3 linked regions of the Pelodiscus sinensis genome follow. The protein of the gene in region 1 interacts with the protein of each later gene in a pairwise test. Links are inferred from orthologs where the notes say so. Each region holds a gene or a part of one and is shown in the gene's direction. Other genes may lie near its edges. The genes, in order: DAB1, CLASRP and MBNL1.

Region 1 (9,762 bases):
GGACCAGATGCAGTCCCTAACTTGCCTGGATCTGGCCTCTGAAGCTCAGGGATCCACATCTGGCACTGGGGAACCTGCACTGGCACTCCAACCCCTCCCCTGCCTGTCGGGATGGAGCACACAAAATCTATTATCCTGGGCCCCCTCTAGGCTCAGGTGTGTGAAGGGAATGTGGGGAGTTTCTTCTCAGTTAGGGGCCACATCAGTGAGGGTTTGTTTGTTTAATTCTTGTACGCAGCTTCAAACTGATTTTTCTGAGAGTCAACGGCTCTGAACCAAAGGAAAAAAAAATTCCCCACCCCTGCCTTAGTGTTATACTAGGTTTTTTCTTGTGGCTCAGACCCATTGTGACCCCATTACAGGATTGTCAGAACAGTTCAGTCCAGCATAGGCACTGATAGGAGGAAGAACCAAAACATTTTTGCCATTGAGGGGGTCTAGAAGGATGGGGACACAGCCCAGAGGTGGCCAAGTATCTGGCAACACAGTCACTAGACATGTCAGCCAAGCACTTACTGGTCCCAGGATAGACCTTTCTGAGAGGCGCCAGTAATTAGAGCGACACCAGAAGGAACAGATTACAGATGTTCATGAGGGAGCAGTGGTGCACAAATCATGAAAAACATGGGTGGTGGGTGAAGATAGGGCTAGGGGAGAAAGCCCCTAGCCCTGCCCCCATGGTAGTGAAGCCACCCCTCCACCAGCACTACGGGGAGGTGGGGTGGCTCCTGCCTCCCTGCCCCCAGAGTATGGGGAGGGTGAGCGCTCGGGGACAGCAACACTCTGCCCCCAGTATGCCTACAGTAGGTGTTCTGGGGGCAGAGAATGGGCGGGGCCAGGATGGCAGTTTGGAAAAGCAATGCCTGCCCCTGCAAGGTTACCACACAAGAGACAAGTGACCAGAAGGAACAGGAAGCATTTGTGGGCCTTCAGGGAAACAGGTCATTTCAGCACTGAGACACAGAGCCAGGTGGTGGCCAACCCCACAGGGAAGGAGGAAAGCTAATCTGCTGGACACAGACAGGTAACAGGGCATCAGATAGGTCACTACTGGTATGACTGCATGTTGAGGAAACCAAACATTTCAAAGACAATACCACAGATTAAGCTGATTACAATTGGCCATACTTGCACATGCCAAAAGGGGTACGGGCTGGGGACCTGGGTGTCTATTTGTTTCTTGTGTTTATAAAAACAGGGTAGCTGTATCTTTGTGGAACAGGAGTCAGTGGGCCTTTGTTCTCTGGAGGGACTGTTATGGACATGGCATTGGGGAACTGACCTGTTGGCATTAGGCTGGGATGTGGGCAGCACTGCATGTTTCCACTTGTTTCACTTAACCTGCATTCAGCTTTAGTCATTGCTAATGAAACACCCTCTGCTTTGTGTAGGTTGAGTTTTTCCAGCATTTCTTTTATGCAGCCTTTCCTCATCTTTCGATCACTGCCAGGCATTATCAGGGAGATAAGACAAGGCCCACCTCGTATGTCTGCCGTCACTTGGGAGTTAAGCAATGATGCGTTAGTGCAGCAATAGCTTCCCTGGTGAAAGATATGGTGAAACCTGCAGTTGAAAGTGTGCTCTTAAAGACATAACTGAATCTGCAAACCTAGGCATGATGTTTCCTCTATCAGCTCCAGCTGTGTCATGTGAACTGCTGTGCAGATACGGCAGCCCTTTCCTTGAAGAAAAGTTTAAAGGACGTCAGATTTCATTACTCTCCTTGTTGGTGACTGACTACTCTCTACCAGTGGCTTTGGGGGTTATGGCTACCTCTCGCCTCCAAATCTGTATCAAAGGCATGTTTGTGGGACATCAATATACAAGCATAACTGATGACCGTTTTTGCAAATGCACCTGCCTATTCATGTCACCTTTCTTGTTCAGATCCTAAATGTGCATCTAAACTTGGCCTAACTAAAGCTGATTCTATAGACCTGAGACAGAGATTTAGAGGTGGTATTTGGCAGGGGTTAGTGGAGGATTTGCAAAGTGAAAGGAAGGAAATCCACAGGGCTAAGCTACAATGAAACCTGGCTGAAATTTCAGTATTGATGTCAACATACATCTGAAATTGTACAGGATCTAAAATACCTGTTCCCTAGGTTTGAATCTGAATATACTAAACAATTGTCTGTCTGGTATTGCAAGTGTTCCTGGTAAAAGGAACCGAAAATGTATTGCTCCAAATACTCATAAAACTACCATTTATTCATCTGTTTATATGACTGTATTGTCATACTATCTGAACTCTCCCACCACATACACATGAATTTATCCTCACAACAGCCTTAAAGGCAGCAAATAATTATTATTCCCACAGTAGAAATGAGGTAAAGAGAACACATTGCCAAGGATCCTAGTGGGGAAAGTGCGGCTTAGAACTGGGACCTAAACCCACATATTTAGAGTCTTAATTCACAGTTTTAACCACAAGACCACAGTTCTGATTTAATTCCACTGCTTTAGTATTTGATAGATTTTCCAGCAGGAAGCTAATTTGGGTATTCTAAGCTACAAGGACCCTTTCTTTTGAGACTTTAAGTGCAATTTCATGTTTCTTATCCCTTCTAGACACTAATTTTGGCAGAAAGGATATCTGATTGGGAGATTCTTTTTACAGATGTTCAAGAAATGTATCTTTCACAAAGACCTGGTGGGTGTCAACATAGATCAAGTCTTTGTCCTCTGAGTTAACATTTATATCCAGGAAATATCACTACCACCATTCTGACCTAATCCAAAGCACCCACAAGTAATGGAATGGCATAAACACAATGTGAGAAGGGCAATAAAGTTATATCTCAATTACACACAATCAATAAGACATTCAACAGCTTTATTTGTCCTTTATCAGTCAGCAGTTAAGGGTAACAGGATCTCTGAGCCATCCATTGTCACGATGGCTTAAGGTGTGCATCCAAGAAGTCTATAAAGCAGGAAGAGCTATTCCTCCTGTATTACATATGTGACAGAGGAGTACTGATAAGAGATGGAACCTTTTTCTCCTGGCCTTGGTCACGTGTGTTGGCTCATGGTTACATAAGGCTAACAACCCTGTTATAATCCACTGCATTCAGTGCCCACTATTAACCCCTCCTGGAAGGTTAATGCATACGCTCTCTCTCTCTCTCTCTCTTTTCTAAGGGGTTCAGCAACCAGCCATGCTCTGAAGATCAAGAAATATACAAAGCAGTTTAATTCTCACATTTTCTACATATTACAAGCGTGATCTCCTAGAATTAGCAAAAATCTCCAATGTGCATGTCTTAGTCGTGCCCTTTTCAAGCTCACCATTTAGTCATGTGTATTTATGGTAACAGTTTGTATCCTACCAGAGATTAATTTTACTGTTTGTTTCAGCCTATAGCAAGACTTTTGAGTGTGAATGGAAAGAAGAATAGGAAATTTGTACTCTCCTGATCAGTTTCCTTTTTTAACCATTTTTGCCTGCCAGCCCCCCTCCCCCCCACACATGGAAAAAGTGGGATTTACTTGAGGTCAGAGTTAAGTGAAATATGTAGAAACAGGTTGTGGATAAAGGGAATGTTCTGCCTGACTGTGCTATAAGTAGTAACTCAGAAATGTATTGCAGCTGCAGACGCTTTCATTTCTCAGAATGGATTTACTAGTAGTTACAGTAAGGGACCAGCATGCCCCCAAACCACAGGGAGAGCAGGAAACACAATCAGATGGCTAAGCAGAAATGACCGAAGAAAAAACATGATACTGTCAGTAAAATCTAAATCCATGCCCACCTACCTCTGGGTCACTGGCAACAAGGATCGAAGTTGGGATTTCTGACTTTGAGACCATGAACCTCTACTGCCTCAGCTAGAAGACCCAGTTTTGTTAGCCAAGACCATAGCAGGCTTGTCAGTCCTTATCAGGGTTCCAGATAACCTGAGCTGGGGACAGAGTGCCTGGCCAACTGGGGGTGTGTCACAAAAGATTTTGCATCCTCCATCTCTGGCCCTGGGGAATAAAACACTTTGGTCATCATTCTAATCTGCATTAACCTTGCCACTTTCAGGAAAATGTGTGATGTAAAGTCCATCTTTGTTCCATAGCTTTCCCTCAATAACTACTGCTTTCTGGCGAGGGGGTGAGAATGGTGAAGAAGAAAGAGTGGAGAGTAGAGGAAGGTGTATGAGTGTAAAGGGCAGTGGGGAAATGGATTAAGCCAATGGATAATGCTGGAGGAAGGGAACAAAAAAATTCCTCTTAATACATGCTCCAGGTTAAGGGTGAGATAAATTGTTCCATTTTGCTGGCATTATGCCTTCTTGCAAGGCACTGAGAAAGGAAGGTGATGAGCACTAGATAGGGTATTATCAATCTAGGGTTAAAAGCAAAACCATGTGACACTGTCTTTTCCTGATGTGGAAAATACCCTGTAAAGCCACAGAATGTCCCAGAACACAGGAATTAAAATTATGCAACACTTGTATACAGGTGCAAGGAACAAGATGGAAGAGTGTGTGACTAGAGAGTGATTAATAACGAGTCCTGGGTAGGACATACAGGGTGTTGTAAGTGAGCAGTATTACCCCAGCTATTTTAGGCTCTGGACACAGTAAGGGTCAGTTTCTCCCTTTGCATGCAAAGCTCATTGTACTTAGTGGAACGCTGAGACTGCTGAATTTGTTCCAGTGTGATGAATTAGGCTCACCTGGTCCCCTCAGGTGACTTTTGATACCTTTAGGTGGCATATCCTAATGAAGGGTGTAAGTGCCCCCTCCAGGTGGTTGCCTGTTTATTTGCTGTGCCTGCTGAGCCACAAATAGTCTGCTGATGAGACAGAGACCCAGGGAATCATTAAGGGCACTCGCACAAATGTGTTCCGGCACAGCAAAGCCAAGTGCACGCGTTAGACACCAGGCGGTGAAATGCTGTCGGGCTCCAGTATTAGGAGAAATGTGGTAGTGATGTATAAGGTATGAACGATGTGGCCTGCAGAGTACCAGCACTGCCTCTGCTGCTGTTGCTTCTGCTGCCGTGACTGAGGTGCTCTCACTGAACTGAAACTGCTGAGGATTTGCTCACTGGGATACCCATTGCCAAGTCGTTCGTTTCCAGGGATCTACTGCCCACAGGCAGACCCACAGAGCCCCCCTGGGGGAAAGAACTGACAGCACGAGGGGGGAGCCTTTTTCCTGCCACAAGAGGATGAGTGGGGGGCTGATCAGGGAGCAGCACTGGTTCAAGGTAGGAGAAGGTGTTTCGTTTGATTGCAGTAAAGAAGGAACGGGGGGCTCAGGGGAGGCGGTCTAGACAGATTCCGGTGTCTTGTCAGTGTCCAATTTCATATCGTGATATTTCACCCTCCTCCCTCCAAGGTGCTTGAATTGCCTGTATTTATTTCTGGACCTTCCAGTATGTTAGTATCCTAGTCCACAGAACCTGCTTTTTAGATCCTGCCAGTGGATCTGCCCCTACATGTCCAAAGGGTTTTTTGCTTTTTAAACCTAAAAGCTGCCGGTGGGTGTGTTTGGCGGGGGGGGGGGGGGGGGGGGGAGAGATCTAGAAAAGTCATGGTCAGAAAGGCTTTGCTTTAACCAGTGTGCATAATGTAGCCTCTCATTAGTGCCTTTGCCAATTGCACTTGGGTGCCTGGTTCCTATTCACTTTAAAGGGGGAGAAATAAATGGGCTTTAACTCAAAGTTTTGTTTTTCACTCAAAGACCTGTCAAAACGCTGGTGTTTGTCACACAGCAATTTGCAATCAGTGCAGGGGACTGATTCCTGGATGGAAACTGAAGTATGAATGTATGGGATTTATGCCCTGCCTTGTACCATAAGGGTTAAGACTCAAGGAAATGTGCATTTTATTATGCCTAGGTGGAAATGAGAATTATATGTCTGCTTAAATTATTTTGAACATGACAGAGAGGCTCCTCTAACACTTCCATTGCTGGAAACTAACAATTTACTTTAGAGACTGTTTTCAGAACACCAGGCTTGTTGATTTTCAGATTAAATGACCCTCTAACATTCTTTTTCTGTCTGCCTACCTATGTGTGTACATCCTAATAGGAGAAACTAGAACCAGCTGTTACAGATTGGTTTTGTATTTGTACCTAAATAAATATTTTGCTGCTTTTCAGACTGCTTCTTGATGCCTCCTTAAAATTGAGATGATTAATCAATTGGGTTAGTGGCCAATTAGGCATAACCTTGTAGGAAAATAATTATGCATGAGTATATGGGATTTGACTAGTAATGTGCTACAGTATGCACCCAGACTTCAATAGCTCCTTCCTAATGTGTGCAGATTCAGTGGTTTTTTCCCCCCCCCTTAATTCAAGATAAAAATCAAAGTGAGATGCCAAATGCTTTATCACTTGTAAAGGGACAATTCATTTTCCTTCTGCAGTGAAATATGTATTTTAGTTAGTTTTAAAACAAAGGGGGTGGGAAGCAGGAAGCTATTTTCTTGTCTGTCACGAAAGATTTTTCTCTTTTTTAAATATACTCTTTGTAATGCCACTGCTTGCTTTGGTTATTTGGTTTAGACAAATGAATTTTACTTCAGTGCCCTAGGAGTCTCAGAAGAGGAGGTTACAGTGTTATGCCTTTTGAGGACAGTCATTTTAACTGATCTTGTTAAGTAACACCATTATTAAATGAGTGAAAATTGAAGCAAATGCATTTTTCAGTGGTCACAAGTTCTGCTTCTGAGATAAATTTCTCTTTATGACTAGAGAGGTTTTTGCACTGCAGTATTACAATACAGCCATATTAAAAAGGTCCTTGGAGCAAATAACCCTCCAACACTGCAGCTTCATCTTCAATAGACTTAAGTAATTCTGGGGGAAATAATAACATTGGATTTAAACAATCTAGGCTGAATTGAAGTCCCCGTGCCCTCCCCCACGTTGTGTAAGCTTCTTGGAGCTTTTATGCCAGGCAGATATCTAAAACCCATGTCTAAAGTGAAAGAAAAACAAATATTGCCCCCTCCACTCCCCCCCCCTTTTTTTTGGTGCAACAGGTCCTACAGCCTTTTTAAAAATAGGTTGACAGTGATGTCTATGCTTGATTGTCAATGAAGTGTAGTGTCTATTTTCTGATGAACAGTGGTACATAACAACATTTTCTTCTCTATGTTGTTTTATTATGTTTCTATAATGTAACAAAATGGGGTGGGGGGGAGGAGAGAAGAAAACTTGGAATGAAAGAAAAGATTCCAAAGGGATTATTGCAGTAGCAATTTATGAGCTAATTAAGATTTATTCTGAGGCAAACTGCATGGTGGCTAGTGCTTTCATTGGGCTGTGGCATCGAAGTCAGTCATGATATAGGCAAGTACATGCAGTTAAGCAATCTCATACCACATCCATACTTCATAATTTTGAAGTGTAAAGAACAGTTGCAGGACTAAGCCAATTAACTTCAGTGCTAAAACTCTGTTTTTGAGTGGAGGTGAAGGGAGTTTGTTTTCTTCTCTGTAATTGCAGCTTGTATTTTCATTTCATTGGTGGTGGTGGTTTTTTTTTTTTTTTTTTTTTTTTTTTTTTTTTTAACAAATGAATCTTTATTTTAATAATGTAAAAACTGTAGAGATGAAGCAGAACAATCCAATTTGTTCCAAACAAGAAGCAGAAATCTCCTATAGTAGAACCTCAGTGTTAGGAACACCAGAGATCTAAACTGACTGGTCCACCTCATTTGGAACTGGAAAGATGCCATCAGGCTGCAACCGAGGCAGCCCACCACCACTCCTGCAAAAAAGGCAAATGCAGACGAGTACTGTGTTTAAATATAAACTATTTTTTTAAGGAATTGACAAGCAGGGTGACTATTTCTGTGCTTGTTTCGCTTAAGATGGTTAAAAGCAGTGTATTTCTTCTACATACTACATTTCAAACCTGCATGAAGTTAATTTCAACTAACTTTTGAAAAAACAACCATAACTTTTTGTTCAGAGTTATGAACAACCTGCTGAGGTCCTGCGACACTTAAGTTCGACTATATATGTAATTTGTCCCAAGTGGCCAGATCAGTCAAATGCTTGTGTGAACCAAACATTGCTCCACATAAACCTTTTCAGAAAAGATCCTCTCATTGATTAGAGAGTAATAGAGCTGTAGCTGTGTTAGTCTGGTCTTGCTGAAACAAAAGACAGGACTATGCAGCACTTTAAAGACTAACAGGATGGTTTATTAGGTGATGAGCTTTTGTGGGCCAGACCCACTTCCTCAGGTCAAATTGTGGAGGAAAATTGGCATGACCATATATACCAAAGGGATGCAATCAAAAAAAGTGAACACATATAAAATTGACAAATCTGATTTTAGAACAGAGGGAGGGTGAAGGGGGTAGGTTAGTGTCTCTGAGATAATGATATTAGGGGTGATAATTGGGGAAGGTGGCATTGCTCAGAGTGACATCTGTTTGACAGGTATTTATTGCAGAGTGATACTAAGGGCTCTTATTTTATATATGTAATGATAAGTTCTAGCAAGCTGACGGAGAGTTGAAATGTTACCTCTGTGAGCCAGATTTGATTAATATATTTACTATTTACCTTTAATCCAGGGCTTCAGTAACTGTAGTAATGTTCATTTTCTATCAATTTGCATGTGAGTAATTCTAACTGTAGAGGCTCATGCATGAAACTCCAGAGGTCCAGGTTCAGTTCTGCCTTTCAGCGCTACACACAACTATAAGAATGATCACAGTGGGTCAGACCAGTGGTCCATCTAGCCCAGTATTCTGCCTTCCAACAGCAGGGAATACCAGGTGCTTCAGAGGGAATGAGCAGAGCAAAGTAACTATTGAGTGATCCATCCTCTGTTGTCCATGTCCGCCTTCTGGTAGTCAAAGGCTAGGGAAACAGAAAATAGGGCTGATCCATGACCATCTTAGCTAATAGCCATTGACCGACCTATCATCCAGGAACTTATCTGGTTCTGTGTTTAATCCAGTTAATTTGTGGCCTTCACAGTATCCTCAGACAAGAAGTTCTACAGGCTTGACTATAAGTTGTTGTGTTTTGTTTTAAACCCACTAAAAATTAATTTAAAGAATTCCTATATAAAGGAAGAACTAGTAAAGGAGTAAAAATAGTTTCTCATTCACTTTCTCTACACTATTCATGATTTCTTTTTATAGAACTCTGTTATACTCCCATAGTTATCTCTGTTCCAAAATGAAAACTCCCGGTCTTTTTAAGTGGCTTCCATCTGAGGAGAAGTTCCATACTTCTAGCTGCTTTTTGTTGCCTTTCGCCATACTTTTTCCAATTCCATTATATTTTTGAGATGGGGTAACCAGAACCACATGCAGTATTAAAGGTGTTGTTATACCAGGGATTTATATAATGTCATTATGCTATTTATTCTCATTATCTATCGCTCTCCTAATGGTTCCTAAAATTCTGTTAGCTTTTTGTCTCCCATTTCACCTTGAAGATGTTTTCAAAGAACTATCCACTATGACTCCAAGATCTTTCTTGAATAGTAACAAGTTTTTTTTTTAAGCCTGATTATTTTGTATGTGTGGTTCGAATTACCGGTATGTCTTCCAATGTTCATTGCTTTGTATTTATCACGATTGAATTTCATCTGCTATTTTCTTGCTCAGTTTTGTAATTATTTCTTTTTCTTTTTGTATCTCCTTGGAGTCTGCTTTGAACTTTATCTTTACTAGTTTTGTATTATCTGTAGATTTTTGCCACCTTTTTCCAGCTGCTATATTAGCCAGCTCAGATTATGGTAGTATGTATAATAAACAGTAATAGAAAATTAGTTTATACAT
Region 2 (9,642 bases), on another chromosome or scaffold:
CAGAGGCTAAGTTGCATCATTGCCAGGGGAGTGTATCTATATTAGCTAAGGTCCGTACCCTTAACCCTAAGTTAACGCTAGGGGGCACTCCACCCTCAGAGCCAGTCGAGGGTCTGCTCCCCATACTCTGGGGCACCGTTTCCCAAACTATGGGCCACGGCCCCATAGCGGGCCGCAGGAAAAAACTACCGGGCCTCAGCATGGTTGCCGGGGTGTTCTGTGCTCCCGGAGTGCCCGTGTGGGGTCGGGTCCCCCAAGCTGGCCTGGGCGGAGTCTGCAGCCAGATGTTCCAGTTCCCGGCAGAGTCCTAGCTAGGGGAGGGCGGCGGGAGGAGGAGGAGGGGAGAGCCGGCCACCGGAAGCAGTACTGGACGGGGGAATCGGGGTGGGACGGGACGGGGAGATTGGGGAGCCGGTGGAAGCAGGGCTGCCGAGGGGCACGAGGTCGGGGGTAGGGAGCTGGCTGGGGAAGATGGGGGAGGGGGGCAGAAGCAGCTGCAGGAAGCAGGGCTAGAAGCAGGCAGCTGGGCTGGCCAAGGGAGATTGGGAGAAGAAGCGGGGGGGGGGGGGGGGGGGGAAACTGGCTGTCCGGGAGGGGGTTGGGGGAAGTGGGGCTGGCCAGAGGCGGAGGGTGGGGAGCGAATCAGCTGGCAGGGAGCGAGACTGACCCAGTCATATGCAGCTCTCGGGCGCTGCCCCCCTTCTCCCCCCCCCCCCCCCCCCCCCCCCGCAAAGCACAAGTTAGTCCAACCCGGGGATTCTATTGTTCCCCCCCCCCCCCACACACACACACCCTCGAGTACTTGCGAACTGGCTGGTAGACACACTCATGCAGCCTGAGCACATTTACCAGCCAGGCAGTTTGAAACTACAAACTGATACATCTAGTAATAATAAAATTTGCCTAATGAGAAAATACCAGACCTGTTATATGTCTGGTATTTTCTCAGTTTGTTTTTTATGTGTTTATATTTTTGGGCTGCAAAAAACAGTACTGGAAAAAAAAGGGTTCCAACTAAAGTAAAAAGTTTGGGAAACCCTGGTCTAACCAGCTTTCTGTCTGTCTTACAGTCCATTTATCCAATCCATATTCCTTAACTTGCAAGAATATTATGGGTGACCATATCAAAAGCTTTGCTAAAGCTGGCACTGGGGGTTTTGGGAGGACCAGAAATAACTTATTTGAATATTCATCATTTGATTAATGAATATGCAAATATGCAAATGACCATTACTGGTCCTCCAAAAATTTGTGAATGGATTTACTGGTCCCCGTGTCAAAAAGTTTGGGAACCCTTGCTCTGGGGAAACCAGTGCCTCCTGGCCTCTCCAGCTGCCACCCATCACCCGCTTCTTGCAGCCTCGACTTCCTGGTGCCCGGCAGCCTGGAGTTCTTCTGTGTCAGTCCAGGGGGATTTTACTGACAGTTCATGTGTCTCTGGTTTGACCAGCAGCGGTTGGAGCAGCACTAGCCCCTTGAATGTGCTCCTACTCCCACTCGCTCTGCCTGCCTCTTGCTCCCTTTTCTGGCTGTGGGAGCGAGATGTAGCCCTTCCCCCTAAGTGGCTGGCCGGTCTTAGTAGTGGCCAACACTCTGCCAGCTGGAGCAATCCATCCTCTGGCTCTGGCTCCGGCTCCTTCCAGAGTCTCTAGAGCCACTTTGTCTTCCCTGGGTATCTAGACCAGTGGTGGGCAACTTGTGGCCTGTGTGCTCACTGCAGCCAATCACAGTGCTGCCATGGTCCCATTGGTGCCCCCACACACTGTGAGAGCCGGGTGCTCCCGCTGCAGCCAATCACAGCGCTGCCATGGTCCCATTGGCACACCCTGCAAATTCTAGGTACACAAGCACTATGAGCAAACTGCCCTGTTCTAGGAGACCGTCTTGGTTACGATAATCTTGCGGCCCACTGAGGTGACGGAGGGTCACTCATGTGGCCCAGTCACTAGCCTTGGTTGCACGTTGCTGTTCTAGCTGTGGGCTGCAGGAGAAAACCTTTTGGCTACGTCTACACTGGCATGATTTTCCAGAAATGCTTTTAACGGAAAAGTTTTCCGTTAAAAGCATTTTCGGAAAAGCGTGTCTAGATTGGCAGGACGCTTTTCCGGAAAAGCACTTTTTGTGGAAAAGCGTCTGTGGCCAATCTAGACGCGCTTTTCCGCAAAAAAGCCCCGATCGTCATTTTCGCGATCGGGGCTTTTTTGCAGAAAACACTATTGTGCTGTCTACACTGGCCCTTTTCCGGAACAGTTTTCCGGAAAAAGACTTTTGCCTGAACGGGAGCAGCATAGTTTTTCCGGAAAAGCACTGATGATTTTACATTAGATCGTCAGCGCTTTTCTGGAAATTCAAGTGGCCAGTGTAGACAGCTGGCAAGTTTTCCCGGAAAAGTGGCTGATTTTCCGGAATAACTTGCCAGTGTAGACACAGCCTTTGAGTATCAAACCCAGTTCAAGCAGAGAAGGGTGAGTAGTGGCTTCCCACTGATAAAGCAGCTAGAACCACAGTAACTCTATGGAAAGTACTTGCTCTTTATGGGAGTCCTTGTCACGTGGCGTTCACCCTAGCAACTAGCTAGTACCTTCCTAATATTTGTTTGGGAGCTAGGGGAAATCCTAGTTCATCTATTTTTCCTCCTAGCGAGGTGGTCTACAATGCACCCTTACCATGACATCACTCTTGGTTTTTTACCCTTATATCTTTACCTAGAAACTTTCAAAAGTTCTGCCTCCCCCCACACTTCTGCCTAAATCTCAGTGCAAGTGTTTATAAATTTGATACACAAGGCAACACCTCCTCCCTTTCCTCCCCCTCCCCGCCTTCCCTTCCTGAGCAAGCTGTACCCTTTTAGAGTACCCAATATTTCAGAGCTGACTAAACAAGGATCCCCCACATCTGGCATCACAACCAGGAATCAGATCCTAGGTTAATGCACGGGGAAGGCATGGGCCGCCCTGCGGATCTCAGAAAGAGGAATGCTACTTCTGAGGAAGTTACCTGGGCTCTTGATGAAAGGGGAGGCTGAGGCACCTCTGCTAGTTGCTTAGAGATTGTAACCCAGAGTACGAGCTGTGGGAAGAAACAGGCCTGTGGGTTACCTCAATTGCAGTTCTCACTAGTCCCACAAGGGTCTCTGCTCTGGACCCTGTGTTCCACAGAGGAGATCGCCCATGTCTGTCACTAACTAACTGGCTCCCTCCAGAGTACTTCTCCCATTTTCCTGGTCTCAAGGCCTCCTGTATGTCATTCCCCTGATATCCAGGGTCATAGGAAAGCACAAGCAGGATGTGGCTGCAGTAATACTTGCGGCATCAGCGTTGTCTCACAGACCGAATACACTGGCCACAAGGCTCCAGTCCGCCAGACACATTCTCTCAGAGCAGAGGCAAATTCTCCCTCCAAACCCAATCTCTCCAGCTCCTGGTTTGGAAAGGGACTGTCTGTGTACTACAGCCAGGGCCTGCTTTAGAGAAACCCTTACGGAGCAGCGGAATCACTCTGATCCATAGATTAAAGGTGTAGCACAAGGTGGGGAACCTTTTTCGGGCTGAGGGCTGCTGCCCCACAGAAAAATCAGTGGGGGGCCACACACAAGTGAGAAGCAACCCCCCAAACCCTCATTGAGGCAGCCCCCCCAAATGAGAAAGACATTATCCACATTCCCCTCGCACACCAGAGCCTTCGGAGGGAGGGGCCTAAGAGAGGAGATGTTGTGTGCTCCAGCCCCGTGAGTGTTAGGCGGGCGGCTGGAGCATCAGCACCGGTTCCCCTATGTTAGGGGGAGCCCCAGCCTTGCAGGAAGGACAACTGGACCCAGGGTTCAGTTGATTATGGGGGACAAATGATGAAAACCAGGGTTGGGGTGTAGTCAAAGGTTTAAAATGAGGGAACTGGATAGTGATACAGAGCAGAGAACCTCAGACGGGGTCTGCTCCTCGAAGCTATCCACAGAGCCAGTGGACGCTGCCCAGAGGAACTCTGCCTGGATGTGTGAGACTAGGTAGGAGCAGAAGTAGGCCCCACAGTCGCAGAGCACCCTCTCATCTAGCATCCTTCTGCTGGTATCGTATATAGCGGCTTTTGCCAGGGCCAAGAGGAGGTTGACAAGGACTCACGACTTTGTGGGGACGCTGGGTGGGCTGTGCATAAATAAAAAGGAGTGAGGCAAAGTGCACCCACACACTCAGCAAGAGGTTCAGGAGCTGGAAAAGGGGCTGCAACCTGATGCATTCTGGGTAGGTGTGCGCCAGGTTCTCCCTCGTGCTGCAGAAGGGGCAGGTGTCGGGATGGGGGTGAACTCTGCCAAGTACATGCCCATGCGCCATGTTAGCAGAATAAATGTGATGTGCAGGGAAGCACGTGCAGCCGTTCACCAGTAGAAACGTGCTGCTCGCTGCGGGTGACCCAAGCGCACAGCTTACAGGGAACGCTGGGGGGGGTGCGGGGGGGGGATGTCCCGGGGGGGGGGGTGCGGGGGGGATGTCCCGGGGGGGGGGGTGCAATGTCCCCTCTGCTTTCCCCACCCCAGTGCAGAATAACGTGTCTGTGCTGAGTGCCAACGTGCACCCCCAGCACACTCCGCAGTTGCTCATTGGGGGGGGGGGGCAGCAGCGCCTCCACCCCCCCCATCGTCTCACACAGGGCCCGGCCCGCGCTCCCGCCACGTGGCCGCGCTGCAGAACCCCCCCCCCCTTTGCCCCGCCCGCCGCGAGCGGACGGGCCGCCATTGGCTGAGGTAATCCAGTCACGTGATCGGCACCCGCCGGCGGGGCGGTGACGCTTTCGCCTTTCCGGTTCCGGGGCAGCGGCTGTGCCCCGCCCCCCCCACTCCGGTGAGTGATGGAGGGCGCCGCTGGTAGGAAGCTCCCGTGTGGGTCTGGGGGGCGGTAGCTGGGCACGGCCCCTCCCCCCCGTGTGGGGCAGGCAGGGTCTGGGGGGCGGTAGCTGGGCACGGCCCCTCCCCCCGTGTGGGGTGGGCAGGGTCTGGGGGGGCGGTAGCTGGGCACGGCCCCTCCCCCCGTGTGGGGCAGGCAGGGTCTGGGGGGCGGTAGCTGGGCACGGCCCCTCCCCCCGTGTGGGGCAGGCAGGGTCTGGGGGGCGGTAGCTGGGCACGGCCCCTCCCCCCGTGTGGGGCAGGCAGGGTCTGGGGGGGTGGTAGCTGGGCACGGCCCCTCCCCCCGTGTGGGGTGGGCAGGGTCTGGGGGGGTGGTAGCTGGGCACGGCCCCTCCCCCCCGTGTGGGGCAGGCAGGGTCTGGGGGGCAGTAGCTGGGCACGGCCCATTATTCCTTCTCGTTTCCCCCGGAGTGTGCAGAGCGCGTCTTTTAGGCACACAGATGTGGAGGTGACGTGAACACATCACACCTCCCCCTTGGCGCACCTCACAACATTATTGGAGGGGGGCTGAGCCCTGGGTCAGAGGGTTGAGGTCCTGGGAGGAGGAGTGGGGATGAGGGGCTCAGGGCTGGAGCAGGGGGTTGGAGGAGCGCGGGGTCAGGCAGATTGTGGGGGCAGAGATGAGGACTTTTGGGTGCCGGTTTCCCTGAGGTTATGGTGGGGAGAGAGGATTTCACCCTTAGTTTTCTCTCCCCTCATCAGCAGCTCCTGGGCTAGGAGGAGAAATGCCACTCCGCTGCAGCAGCTCTAGAGCTGGGGCTGCAGGATAGGTGTTTCTCTGCTGGCCCTGGAAAACCTAGGCATCCCCTCCTCCTCTCCCACCCTGTCTGTTGCAGGTCTAGGTTGGAGCTGGGCGACTTTTCTCAGCAGCAGGACTGGGCTGTGCTGGGGCCAGGGGAAAGAGGCATCCCTGCCGCAGCCCTGAGCACCTCTGCAGTGCTTAATAGACTGCTGCATATCTGAGCAGCAATTTAGGCATCTCCCCTCTTGGTGTAGGATGGAGCTTTGTGCAATTATATAAAATGGATGCTCATTCTTTTTTCTTAGCTCTCCCCCCACTAGACAAACTTTTTTTTGTCACAGCTGGGCCACAATTGTTTTTCTGCATGTAAAAGCCAGGCTGGCATTAAGGGGTAGCAAGCAGGTGGTTGCTCAGGGCTCCAAACCAATTCGCAGACTTTGGCTTCAGCCCTCAGAGGTAGGGTTTCAACTTTGTGCCTTGGGGCCCTTTGAGTCTAATGCCCCAATTGTTGGTGGACCCACTGAAAGCTGCTTGTGACCCCTTCCCCCTCCCCCAGGGAGCCTCAGACTCCTGATTGAGAGCTGCTGATACAAATAAAAGAACAAGGAAGACAGCGAGTGGGTCACTGTGCGGTGTGAATGGGGAGAAGACTAAAGGTAATCTAGGTATGTTCCTAAAATGTTTTACTTCAGTTTTCAATAAGGATTGTACCTTGGAACATGGTCAGGCATATGCTTGGGAGAGATTGTCCTGGAAAGCACTTACTTTGAAAAGGATTGGGGTGTTGTGTGAGCTAATCAACTGAACATGACCTTACAGTGTGATGTTATGGCCAAAAGAGCAAATGCATTGCTGGACCATACAGGCAGGGAAATGTGAAATAGGAGTAGAGAAGTTTTTACCTCTGTGGTACTGGTGTACATTGCTGGAATCCTGTATCCAGGTCTGGTGCCCGCAATTCAAGAAGGATGTTGATAAATCAGGAAAGGTACAGAGAGAAGCCTCAAACAGTTGAGGGATTAGAAAGTATCCTCAAGGAGCATAATTGATTTATTACAACAGAGAAGGTTAAAGGGTGACGTGATCACAGTCTATGTTTATATGGGGAACAAAAAATTTAATAATGGGCACTTAAGTCTAGCAGTCCAAGGTATAACATGATCCAGTGCCTGAAAGCTGAAGCTAGAAAAATTGAGATAAGAAATAAGGTTTTAATTTTTTACAGTGAGAGTAATTAGCCAATAGTACAATTTATCAAGGATTGTGGATCTCCATCAGTAGTAATTATTAAATCAAGGGTGGCTGTTTTTCTCAAAAATCTGCTCTGGGTATTATTTTAGGGAAGTTCTCTGCCCTTTGTTTTATAAGATGTCAGGTTATGGTCGCAGTGGTCCGTTTTGGTATTGGAATGGATGAATAACAACGAGGAGTCCTGTGGTACCTTAAACACTAACAGATTGACTTGGGCATAAACTTTTGTGGATAAAAAATAGGTATGTAACTGGCTACTTAACTAGGCCCCCCCCCCCCCCGCCCCTAACAGAGGCAGCAAGGTGGGGGAGCAGGAGCCAATGCTTGGGGGAGCTGACTTAAAAGCACAGTGGGGGACCAGGCGTGAGCCAGGAATCAGCTGTCCGAGCTCATGCCTGGTCCCCGCTGTGCCTCTGCCTTTTAAATGTAGTAAGAGCGAGGCAGCTGTTCCTATGTTTAAAAAGCAGAACCACAGCCGGGTTAGGTCCTGGGGCCAGAGAATTCCATTGACTACTTGATTACCTGATTAAACAAAATGTAACATCCCTAGTGGAAAAAAAAAATTGTCAGATACATAGATACATTTGACAAAGCGCTTTTTACTCACGAAAGCTTATGTCTAAATCAATCTGTTAATCTTCAGGGTGCCAAAGGACTCCTTGTTTTTGTAGATTCAGACTAAGATGGCTACCCCTCTAAGACCTGAATTAATAAAGGTATTCAGTAGTGTTGATGTCAAGACAAATCTTTGAGGAACGCAGCTAATAATTTTCTTTCAGTCAGATAGTTGGTTTTTCAGCACATGCCATTGTCTTCGCCCCTCTAGCCAGTTCCTTAGCCAATGCTTGTACTGATTAGGGATATTTAAAAGTTGTTTAATAAAGGTAACCGCCAAAAATTGTAGTGGTTACATGTGCTGCGATCTCTGCAGTATAAATCTTAAATAGGCTTCATGCTACAAGAGCCCACAGTGAAGCCTCCCCCATTAGCGGAGCTGCCAGCTCTGTTCCCGGGGAAGCGGCTTTGCTGCCACAGCAAAGCCACCTCCCTAGAAGCAGGGCAGTTTAATCGATAACAATAACTGATAAACATCAGCTTAAATGCTAGCAGCCCTAGTACTGATGCCTGTCTTCCTTAATTTTACTAATACTGTACCAAACAGGAAATTATCATGTGCTTTATTGAGGCTTAGGTAAATTAAATCTACTTCAGTTCTCTTATCTAAAAATGGATTATTTTCTCAATGAAAGTTTTCAGATTAGTTGGGCATGATCTACCTTTGGGAACCCATATTGCATTACATCCCCTTCTCCGTTTGCCTCTAGGAATTTAATGATTGTTTGCTTCATAATTCAAAGATGCACATTCTATTGAAGTCAGACTAACAGGTCTGTAGTTGTCCAGAATTTTTTCCTTTCTCAAATATAGATAAAATGTTAGCCATTTTCTTGCTCTATGATGCTATCCATGCGTACATGCAGTTAATAAAAATTCCTGCTGCCAGATTAACTAATTCACCTGCCAGTTCTTGCAGTATTATGGGAGGGAAACTATCCAGTCCCACTGATTTGAGAGCGTTAAGCTCTTTAAGATTATGTTCCACCTCAGATGTGTTAATTTCAATTTCTAAACACTCATTTCCATCAACTCTGTTGCCTTCATGATGCGTTTTATTATTTGTTGTTATTTTTCAAAGAGATGTTAAGGCGACAAGTGCAAACTAGCCTACTGCATAGGAAAGATAGGAGGCAGGGCAAGAGACCACCCTGTCTTTACCAAGAGATTTTCAGTGATCTGAAATTTAAAAAAAAGTAATACAAAAAATGGAAACTCGGTCAGAGTATAAGAAATGAATATAAACAAACATCAGATATATGGAGGGACAAAATTAGAAAAGCCAAGACACGCAACGAAGTAGCTAGAATCATAAAGCGTAACTAAGGATACTAAAATGTGGTTATCAGGCTCATGCTGGCTCCAGGAGCCACCCACGCTGAGGCTCTGCATTTTAAATGTAGTAAGAGTCGCTGGGCTCTTATTGCATTTAAAATAGAGGCGCAGCAATCAGCGCAAGCTGGGACTGCATGGTCCTGGCTCTCACTTGAGTCCAGCGGACCCTGTTCATGGCGGCCAGCCCTGTCCGCCACAAACAGAGGCCAGTACCTAAGCATCCTCTGTTCACAGTGGCCACAGCTGGCCGCGGGCAGTGCCTGTTCCAGCAGTAGCCTCTTTCCACAGCCAGCCTTGGCTGCTGCGTATAGGGGCTGCTTCTCAGCAGCCTGCCCTATTCCCCCCTCCCCCCTTCCTCTGATAGGCCTGCTGGCCCCACATTCCCACTGCAGCATTTCAGCCTTTGAAATGTACAAGAGACCCACAGGAAGTAAGGTGGGGGGGAGTGACTTCAGGAAACCCCCAAGATGTGACCGCCTGAGTTGCGACTCCCGCACTTAACCATTTTTGTAAGTGCGGAAGGAGCCAAAACCCCCCAACTTACGTCCTCAGCCCACATTTACGATGAAGCACAATGCCTATCGTAAATGAGGGTTCAAGTTACAGCGCTCCCGCCTTGCAACGCTTCCCCAGGAACCGATCGCATTGCAAGTCGGGAGCTGCCTGTAGTCACGTCACTACTTAACTGTCTGATAAGCTTATGCTTAGAGCAGACTCCTCAGAGCGACAGCCCAACCTGCTGCTGCTATCACTGCTCAGTTCCTGGTAGAACAGAGTTTCTTTTCTTTTCCAGGAAGTTTTTGGA
Region 3 (10,368 bases), on another chromosome or scaffold:
CATTCATCTTTTAGATTGTATGTTTTTTGGTCAGCTATTATCTTTGTGCTTTGTACTGTTTTGAGCCCATTCACAAAATCAAATGTAATAAGTAAGGGAGCGCTACGTGTTTCACTTAAATAATTGTCTCACAATTTAAATAAGAAAGACTTAACATAATCTGTTATAAACATCAATAAACTGAGACGGAGAGGAGGGTTGGGTTTTTGTTTTTTTTTATTTGCTTGAAGACACAAGTTTGGCGGCGCAAGGAACCAAAACCAGGATTGCTAACTCCTAGTCTCGAGCTCTGATCATTACATCACAATGCAACTCCAATGGTTTTTTATCAGTCTTCTTTAAGAGATCCTAACATTGTCAGTGTGACTATGTATAGCTTTAATTGTGTTTATTTGGCTTTGTAACCTTGATGGATGCCAGTTTTATAAAGCATTGCCTTATTTTCTACGGCGAAATATGAAAACGTAATACTAGATGCCAACAATCTAGTACTTTGACCCTCCCATCTCCTAAAGAAACCATTGACTTGGACACAAAATCTTTTCAGAATATTCAGTTAAACCCCTCTACCTATGAAATAAGAGCAAACATTTATTATAAATCCATTGTGTGAAAAAGCCTATTTTATTTCTACTACACACACTACATATAATTCCTTGATGATAGGTACTTGAAATAAAGCATTCCGAGCATTCAAAATACTCTATGAATGCTTCAAACCACCTGCAAAGGGTTAAAAAAGGGACCACATGGAAATGAGACCTCATGGAGTTTATTGGAGGTGATTCGTTCCTGATTTCTCCTGTTCTTCTGTGGACTCACTCTTTTGGAAACTCCTTGGGACATCCCCACATACCCTGCCAGGCTATTTCCACAGCACGGTGGGGATTTGCACAAATAATCATTAATATCACAGATGTGATCCCTTCCCCATGTGCACCCCCAAGGCACTGCATCTGTGAGCTCAAAGGGAAGAAAGAAATATTCCAATGGAGGTAACATGTCTTATAGCTTGTATTTTTGGCCCTCTGCTTATATCTTGGATCTCAGGTCTGCTCATATGAATGAAAAATCTGGTGTCTCATATGAATGACTAAATGTGTGAGTCTGTTACTAATGTGCCCCAGTGTAACTAAGGTGAATTTGCCATAGCCACAGTGAAGTCCTGCAGACTTTTTATTATTATTATTATTACTTATTATTTATTATTTTCAGTTACTGGACAGTTTTATTCAATGCCATATCAGTCTGGAACCCTGTAAATTTTCTTTACTGTAGCCAATACTGAAGATTCCTGTTAATAAAATACCTGGATGAACTGAATTTTTCTAATCACAGAGAATGGATTTAGTGATCCCTTGTAGCAAAATGACTCGTTATTGCAAATAAACCAAATTATTTAAAAAAGAACAGGTTTCAGTCAATACATTCTGCCAAGAGATCATGTTTTGGTATGAGGACATGTCTGCATGGCAAGAAGAATTTGAAGTATATTATGGATTTTCATGCGAAAATTCCATTTATTATGTTACCTTAAATCCACAACGATTAAGTGGAGCGCTACTGTACATGACACAAGATATCTGAAAAACAAATAGGTCCATATGCTGCTACTAAAAAAATCCCACCTTTGTGAACTGGGATGTTTGAAGGAAGAGATCTAGGCATCTGTTTCCTTCTCTACTATCTCTGTAATAGCCATGCCTCTCTCTCTAGTTGTCTCTAGGTCATGTCTCCACTTGCTGCACTGGAGATTGATTTTTCTGGCGTTCGATTTAGCGAGTCTAATAAGGATCCACTAAATCAAACGCTGAGGGTACCCCTTGTCGGCATCAGTATGCCTCAATTCGCAAGGAGTAAGAAAAGCCGAAGGGAGCATTTGCTCCCATCAACCTCCTGCTTTGGAGACGGCCCCAAGCTTCGCTTAAGGTATGTCGACTCCAGCTATATTATTTACTTAGCTGCAGTTGCGTACCTTAAGCCAGTCTTCCGGGACTAGTAGGGGTCCAGCCTCATGTACACTCTGCTCACCTCCATGGTATCCCTGGAGGGGTAAAGGAACTTTAGCCTGATGTCCCATTTGCCTGACACAGGTGATGGCTCTGTTTTGGAGTTACGTTCCAAGTGCAAGTCCCTTATATCCAGCCATGCTGACCAAGCACATACAAGGTCTTCTAGTTATTGTTTTCAAGAGCCTGTAGACAGAGGCTATGATTTGGCAGCCACATAGTGGTTATGCAGTTGCCTATGATGATGAATAATATATTTGTGTGATAGCAATTAAGGAGTTCCGGCTTAAAGCCCTGTTATGCTAGGCACTGTACAAACCCTTAGTTAGAAACACTTACATCATGAGCACAGTGTAATTAGGAAAGCCTAGCAAAATGAATGAGTTTTTATTATTTCTGTTTTATGGGACACTGGCGCACAGAGAGAATTGATCTGCCCAAGGTTACATTGGAGGTTTGTGGCAGAATGAAGAATAGAACTAGATGTCTCAGTCTCAGTCACAAGCCCATCCTTCTGTGACTGCAGGAAGTGTTTTCTACTTTAGGGTATGTGTAGTAGTGCTAAGCATCTTCAGAGCTATTCAAGGATGCAGAGATCCAGCCATCTCTACACTCTAGAATGCAATAGGATCAGAACTTTGGCACCATTGTCAAAGCTTATGCTGTTTTCACTTGATAGCAAAAGCTGTCAAACTCTAAGTGATTTTTGGCTAGTTCCATTTTCACATTATTACCTAAAAGGCTTCTGGCTTAGAACTCTATTGATCATACTTAATATATTTTGCCTAGGTGTATAGTGATATAAATTGTTCTTCTTATCAACTACAAGAAGTAATGGGCCTTTTTATGCAGCAAGGGAGATTTAGGTTACACATTAGGAAAAAACCTTCTTAAATGTAAAGATGGTTAAGCAGTGGAACAAATTATCTGTGAAGGCTATGGAATCTGTCTCTGGAGGCTTTTAAGAACAGGTTAGACAAACACCTGTCAGGGATGGCCTACATAATACTTAGTCCTTCTTCAGTGCAAAGGACTGGACTAGATGACTGTGATAGGGTATATGAACCCTTCAGGGGGAAGGAAGGGATTAAGGAGCAATTCTGGGCTCAGGAGAATTGGGCTCAGAGCATGCACAGGTTATAGGTGAGATTCAAAAGGCAGCCAGATGGCTTGGATGGTCTGGCAGGCCAGAGAGAAGGATATGTTTTGGGAGCTCCAGAGCAGATGTGGCGAGGTGCCATACTAATTCAGGGAATGGGGGAACCATGGAACTAAAGACTAGTACCAGGACAAGAAGCCTGGAAGGCAGCACTCCCCAGGGATGGCCAGCCGAGATATTGTGGGAGGTAGGAGGTGACCTAGGGAGGTTGACACAAGGCCCTGCATAGTAAGTGTAGTGGAACTAGCTTCCCAGCACCCTGGGTCAGAAGCCTGTGAAAAGGGACCCAGGTTCCTCTACCCATTGAGCACTGAACACACTAGGCAGAGTTGCTTGTTTGAGGACTGAACTAACTGGGTGCTAGAGGTGAACCTTTGGGAGTAACTGCTGTCTTTGGCCCTAACTGTTAGGTGGAGTATGCTGCTTCCTTCCCACAGTAACCAATTGAAGTTCCTTCCTCCTACATTTCCGTGAATCTGTTTTACTGATATTGTCATTTGTAGAGCTATAATATTATGATTATTTGTAGAAAATGAAAGAATTCAATGTAGCACTGAAAATGTATGAAGAATAATAGTTCATCGTGGGAATTCAGGTGGATAAAAAATATGCTAAAGTATAATATATAAAATGTGGCCAGATGGTGGAGGTAGGAGAATGAGATGACACCGCAGGACTCCCGAGAGGAATTCAGGATGTACTTGTTATAATCTTTCCAGGGCCTTTGGGGGAGTACATCCATTGAAAGTATTTGGCCTGCACTAATGATGGCCACTCTATAGAGGAGCCTCTTGTCTATCTTTGTGTCATCTAGTGCCCCACCAGTGCTATCTTAAATTAAGCCTTGCCTTACCTATTCAGGTTGTGGCTAATGCTGCTTGCTGCAAGGATGAGTTCTCTGCTTCTCCTCTTCTTTTGCCCCTAGCTAAGGACAGCCAAATCATGACTATTCTTAACCTTAAACTTGTAGAAATTTCTCTGTTTTCTTATATGCTAAAACCTGAAAGCATTATTATTCTGAACACTATGATTAAAAAGAAACTAGTGAATATAGGATGAAGCTATGCTCCCCATATCTGGGAGGAGAAGGACAAAAAGGCACATCTGGAGTGGATTCTCTGGCTTAATTCACAGAAGCAATTGCTGGCATTTGGATCTCCAGATAGGAGAGGGTATGTGTGTCAATGGACATGAAGCTGTAGAACAGCAATGTGAGCTGTTCCTTTACCAGCCTGGGGCATTTCAACAATGAAAACACTTATCTACTCTAGAGTTAATGTTGCTATAAGCAATACTAACCCCTCTCAGTGGCTACGAGAACCCCCGGGGAGACTGTGCAGCTGTGGAAGAAAGGGAGACTCCATCCCTGGAAGTGTGATTAATAAAGGACCTAAGTTGTACAGAGCAGTTGACAAAGAGGATTCCGGGATCCATACAGTGGACTTCTGCTTTCCTGTGTTGCTATCTGCAAGCAGATCCTTTCACCTATCTCTGCAGGGACATAAGCCCCTTCTACTGGATAGGAGAATGTTGAAGAAATGTAGCAAGGAGAGCCACACAAGGAGAAATTTAGCAAGAACTACCCCACCATTTCACAATGCCTCCCTTCAGATTTTGCCATAGGAGGCCAACCTCTGGTTTAGGTTTGCCAAATGGTTTCAACAAAAATACCGGACACACTTGACATTACATCACAATCTATATTACATCTTATTTAGAAAATACCGGACATTTCTATTTTCTCATTTATATTTTCTCAATTTGTTTCCTGAACAGAAAGCTCAAATACTGGACTGTCCAGTTCAAAACTGGACACCTGGCAACCCTAATCTGGTTCTGTCATGAGAGTGATTGTTTAGTGTACAGGGTGGACCTGCTTGGTCCAGCACCCTCGGGACCCGAGCTGTCCCAGACCAGGGAATTTGCTGGACTACAGGAGGTCAAGACTTCCCTGCTGGCTGCCCTGTTGACAGCTCTTCTCCCTGGGGCTCCCAAGGCTGGGGCTTCCTGCCGTGTCGCTGCCCCACTAAAGCTGGCCTGGCTGAGGCTTCCTGCCCTGCTGCCCACTGGCTGCATTGGGGTTTCCCAGGGATTCCCCAGCAAGGGCCTACTGGCCACCACCAGCCCTGTTATCTCTCGCAGTTCCTCGGTGTTTCCTAGCCCGGACCACTCAGCTGCTGCTGGCCCCGCTGCCACGGCCCCACTGCCACCGAGGGTTTCCTGGGGTTCCCCAGCCACCACCGGCTCTGCTGTCAGGGACTGTCCGGACACCTGACCCCACTGATACTGGGGGTTCCCCTGTCTAGCTGCTGCTGGCCCAGCTGGGGACTTCTCAGGCCCCATGTTCTCTTGGCAGCTCCCTCTCCTGGGGCTCTTTGGTCTAGCAACATCTGTGCCAGACTACGGATGTTGCTGGAACACAGAATCCCAGATTTGGGAGGTTCAACCTGTACTGTGTATTCTTGCCCTGGTACTCGACGTAGCCTCACCATTTTAGATAAAATCCCGTCTCCCTTGCACTTTGGAATTTAATTCTGTCTCAAAAAGTCTAGTTTTATAAACCTACTTAGTGCCCAAGAAATTAGATTGCCTGTATAAATATTTGCACACGTTTACAAAGAAGTTTTCACTTAACTCCATATTTTTAGACTGAATAGTTGAAGCATTTATTTTGTTAACTCCAGTAATTAATTAGGCTGTTGTTCATCTATTTGTGGAAGTCTTGTAGAATTCCAGAAGTGAATTCATAAGAGTGATGATTAGTTTACTCAACTAATTCTCTAATGTCTGAAATGTGGCAGCTATACAAATGTTTGCAATGGAAGTAAGCTGTCGTGTGCAGGAAGCCCAAAGACTGTAGTAGCTGTAATACAAATAACAAAGGAGGTTTTACTATATCTTGCCTACAAAAGTCTGTCATATTTAAGACTTTGCACCTGCCCTGTGATGTTGGTGGCTGAAGCAGGGTTGCAGATAGTAGGAGTTTCAGTTTTGTGAGGCTTTATCGGTTGCTAACAGACAAGTCTTCAGAAGGAAGGAAGTATAAGACCTAAGAACAAAAAACAAACAACCCCTCCCCCCGCCACCACCACCACCAAGTTTCCAGGAACTTGTAGATCGTCTTGCCAGGCAGGGCCAGTCTATCTTTTACACCAGATGTCAGTTGTCAGATTAGCAGTTAGGCCTTATGCTGAACACTTTTAATTGGTAGATTTTAAAACATAGAACCAATAGTTCATTCTTTTAATGTGAGCTGAAGATGGTAAGTTACAGTAGTTGCTTCAATTAGGGATGTGGCTTGAAATACAAAAGTACTTCCTCTCATGTCTTTTTTTTAATAGGTGGAAGTAATTTTTGGTTCTTTAAAAATACATATGCAAACCACAGCCTGTTGCCATGGTTACTACTGTATGCTAATGTGATTCGCTTATTTCACATTCTTAAACCTATAGGGTTTGGAAAGCATAATTATTCTGGCCTTTCACTATTTCCCCTTTAGTTAGGCCACCATCCTTCTACTGCGAAGAAAGAATGTTGTAATTAGCCCAGAGTATACAGCAGAACAGAGCTCTTCAAGGTGGTGGCGGCGGCTGTGTCACCGTATTACTTAAGCAGTTTTAACACCAAACCTACACTTGAGGCAGAACAGGTAAGAACTGAAGTTTCTCCTACTTGTTTGATTGTGTAAGTTGACATTAGAAATATGTAAAACTATCTAGTAAGTTATTCTGGAAGCTGGACTGTTTCATTGGAACTTTGTTATTTTTTATCTTGGTGATTTATATTGAATGACTGAAGATTTAAATAATATTTTATTACAGAGACAGGAAATTGGGACTCTCCATTTTGCAAGGAAACTTTTTTTTGGTGTGAAAACTATCACTAAAGCGTATGTTCATTTTTAGATTAGTACTGGTGGATAATGTGTTGAAATTATATTTTCCAAACACAAGTTGAAATTATATTTTCCAAACACAATTTGAAAATGAAGTCCTACTCTTGTGGATTCCTTCAAACTGGTCACTGCACCTACACAGAGTCCTTTTGGGGTTCTAGACGGGCACTGTATGATCTGACTGAAGGATCCCGGCTTCAAACAAACAAACAAGAAACCATTTAGGTGGCTTTTTCACTGGGCATTATTTTTGTCTCCCTTTTCTCTTACATCTCTGTAACTCTAAGTAAGTGTTCTGATGTGTTTAAATTGGTGTGCTGACTTTTTCACAATAGTTTTCCACTTTTACTATTTAATACTGTAGTAGTATTTGGAATATAGTTTTATATTTAGGATGAGAGCACAGCTGCCTTTAGGTATTATTGTAGGGTTATTTTATTCCTCCTGTTCATAAGGGGGCTAAATTCTGCTCACCGTTCCTGTTGACCCCAAGATTAACTGTCAGGAATAAGAGGAGCAGGAGCTGATGTGAAATGTAGATATTGTTCCAAGTGCATTTGTAAAATGTACTATAAAATAAAAAGACATTAATCCCCTGGAACCTGAGCTCCTGGCTTTCTGGTATGAAATATTTCATTGCCAATGAATGTCCCAGTGGTGTTTGATGATTAAATACCGAGTTGGAATGAAGTCAGAGTCCACCTGGGCTGAACTCCTGTACTACTCGAGATCAGAAGTCAAATTAAATGAAAGTAGACCCCTGCCCGTTTCTGACAGCAGAATTCTATTACTAATTAAAGAATAATAAAGAAACCACCTTCACAGGTGGTACATAGAGTATATCATAATTATGCACTTGGCTTATTTATATGTGTGTAAACTAGTGGACACAAAGATAAATATTTGATTATTTTAAAAAAATTACCGTTTGCACAGGTCTTCCAAAAAAGCATAGTACAGTGTAAGTGAAAGTTGAAAGATTTGTATTTGCTTTATTAAAATGCGTATTGTGATAACTCGCAAAGAACTAGAAATCTCTTTTAATTCTGTAGTCCAACCTATAAAACTACAGAATTTGTTGTCAAAACCTAGGAACAGACGTTCTTCATTAAAGCATTCACACTGTACTAACAATTTTTAAATGTTTTAGGGGTTTCTTTCTGTGAAATCAATAAAGAACTTATGAGAAATTATGAGAGTTGGACAAATAGCTTAGCAAGGATCATGAAACTTTTAGTTTGGATTTTTAGTAACTTGTATACTCTGCTTCAACAAAGTCTGACAAATAATGGCAAATTAGAACAGGCTGTATGTTGATTTTTGTGAACACAAAATATCATTGTGATTTGTACAAAACATGCAATATGCTGCATTAATAATACTCTGGTTATTAATATAATTAATAACACTATATTAAACTACAATTGTTAACACTGTATGTGAAGTTAGGAATTTCCTCTGTATCATTCATGCTACTAGAACATGTTGAAGACCAAATAGGCTATCCTAGATAAAGATGATCAATAAGTCTGTCCTAGACAAAAGAATACTGGTTTACTTTACATATTATCAGTAAACAAAGCTTTTGAGCTAAACCAGGGAGGGTTATCCTGAGCATGACCTCAAGAGACAGAGGTCTCCTGTGCTCCAGAAAGTCATGGGAAACGGAATCCCCAGAAGTAAAAGAAACTGTATTGAAGGAATCTCAGTAAGACTCCTTGCGCAATAAAATTCAACAAGATGCAAGGAAGAGTAGCAGAATTTGTCCACCACTGAGTGCGTGTGTATATATTCATTTATACGTGTGTGTATATATATATAAAGTATTAGAAATAGCCAGGATTTGTAGGGAAGCTTTGCTACTAATTTCTGATTTTATGCCATAGAGAGGCCCAGCTATTGCATATAAACCATCACAAGGCTACACCCATGACTGCTTGTATGATACAGTTTTGAAAAAAGGAATGTTGAGACATGTTTTCAAAAAATCAGAAGGATTGCTTTATGCACTAAAGTTTACAATTTTCTGACAGAAAACATGCAGCTTTTCTGAAGACATGAATTCCTGAGCCAAAAATCTAAATATCATATATATATATATATATATATATAGTACTTCTGCAATAGACATTACCAAATTGTGCACGAATGAGTTCTTTTTTCTACAATTGTTGAGAGAAATTTGAAGTTACAAAGAGAATACTGAAATGCATTTTTATCTTGTTCCCTAATATTATGCTCTTCCCAGAATGAATTGTGGCTCAATCTTTTCCCTTGAGATCACTTTAAAGTTGATTAGGTGAGACTAGGGGTGGGAGAAAGTGGTTAGTGAGTACAGTAAAACTCCAATAGTCTGGCACTCCTGATAGTCCAGCATCAAAATGGCAAGAGCCTAGTGAGTGAGCTTCTGCAAAAAATGAGTCACAAGGTAACAGCGGCAGCAGCTGAACTGCGCAAAAAGGGTAAAAAAGGCTTAAAAAAACTAAAACATTACAGTATACTGTATACAGTATGTACAATAAAAAGGGTTAAGAACACTTTATAAACAGTATATAATGTATACAGTATATATATATAACCAGCTTATAGTACCTCCTGATAGTCCGGCATATTTGATAATCCGGCACCACCTAGGTCCCATAGGTTCCGGATTATCGGAAGTCTACTGTACTGAGCCAGCAGGTTCACTATAATATTTCCTCTTCTGCAAGGGATGTGATCTCATATCCACATTTTATTTCACACCTATCTTAGACAATGGGTCCGACATCCTCACTGGGCCCCTGGGCAAGCTGCAGGGGGGCTGATCTGCTCCCCCAAAGGGGTGGGAGTGGGGATAGGCAACCCTCAGTGCCACCTGGAGAGGGCTGCACCTTCCTCAGGCAGTCCTCAGGGCTGCCCGGAACGTGCTGCATAGCACTCCAGCAGTGTTTTAAAGGGCTTAGGGCTGTGGCTGCTGTTGCACTAGTGGTGATATCAGCTGGGAGCTCTGGGCCTTTTGTATCACCGGGCCCCAGGACAGTTGCTCCCCCTTGTTGGTGGGCCTGACCTTAGGTAATAATAGGGGATTCTTATACCATTGGGCAATGAGACATTTAGAATATCTAGTATCTTAGGAGCAGGAACCTGCTTCATAACTGCTCTTCCTAAAGTTCCTAGAACTGTAAATTAGTGTATATAACCCGCACTCGTGTATAACCCGCACACATGCATAACTCACGGTTTTTCCTGAATGAGTAAAAAAAGTTTTAGAGAACCTGTGGACATGTATAACCTGAGGGTTATATACGCTACTTTAAGGTAAT

Evidence for each region.
Region 2: the proteins of DAB1 (region 1) and CLASRP interact in a two-hybrid assay, tested with the Homo sapiens proteins (2 studies listed by BioGRID and IntAct). The link is inferred for Pelodiscus sinensis from reciprocal best matches to the Homo sapiens genes DAB1 and CLASRP.
Region 3: the proteins of DAB1 (region 1) and MBNL1 interact in binary tests that used the Homo sapiens proteins (3 or more experiments, as listed by UniProt). The link is inferred for Pelodiscus sinensis from reciprocal best matches to the Homo sapiens genes DAB1 and MBNL1.

The regions. Positions count from the first base shown.
Region 1 is NC_134719.1:13,961,173-13,970,934, reverse strand, and holds the start of DAB1 (disabled homolog 1), read left to right. Parts: upstream 1-4,889; 5' UTR 4,890-5,208; intron 5,209-9,762. UniProt on the Homo sapiens protein: Signaling adapter of the reelin-mediated signaling pathway, which regulates the migration and differentiation of postmitotic neurons during brain development.
Region 2 is NC_134743.1:2,244,648-2,254,289, forward strand, and holds the start of CLASRP (CLK4-associating serine/arginine rich protein), read left to right. Parts: upstream 1-4,808; 5' UTR 4,809-4,855; intron 4,856-6,192; 5' UTR 6,193-6,301; intron 6,302-9,642. UniProt on the Homo sapiens protein: Probably functions as an alternative splicing regulator. May regulate the mRNA splicing of genes such as CLK1. May act by regulating members of the CLK kinase family.
Region 3 is NC_134720.1:27,566,111-27,576,478, forward strand, and holds the start of MBNL1 (muscleblind-like protein 1), read left to right. Parts: upstream 1-6,561; 5' UTR 6,562-6,817; intron 6,818-10,368. UniProt on the Homo sapiens protein: Mediates pre-mRNA alternative splicing regulation. Acts either as activator or repressor of splicing on specific pre-mRNA targets. Inhibits cardiac troponin-T (TNNT2) pre-mRNA exon inclusion but induces insulin receptor (IR) pre-mRNA exon inclusion in muscle.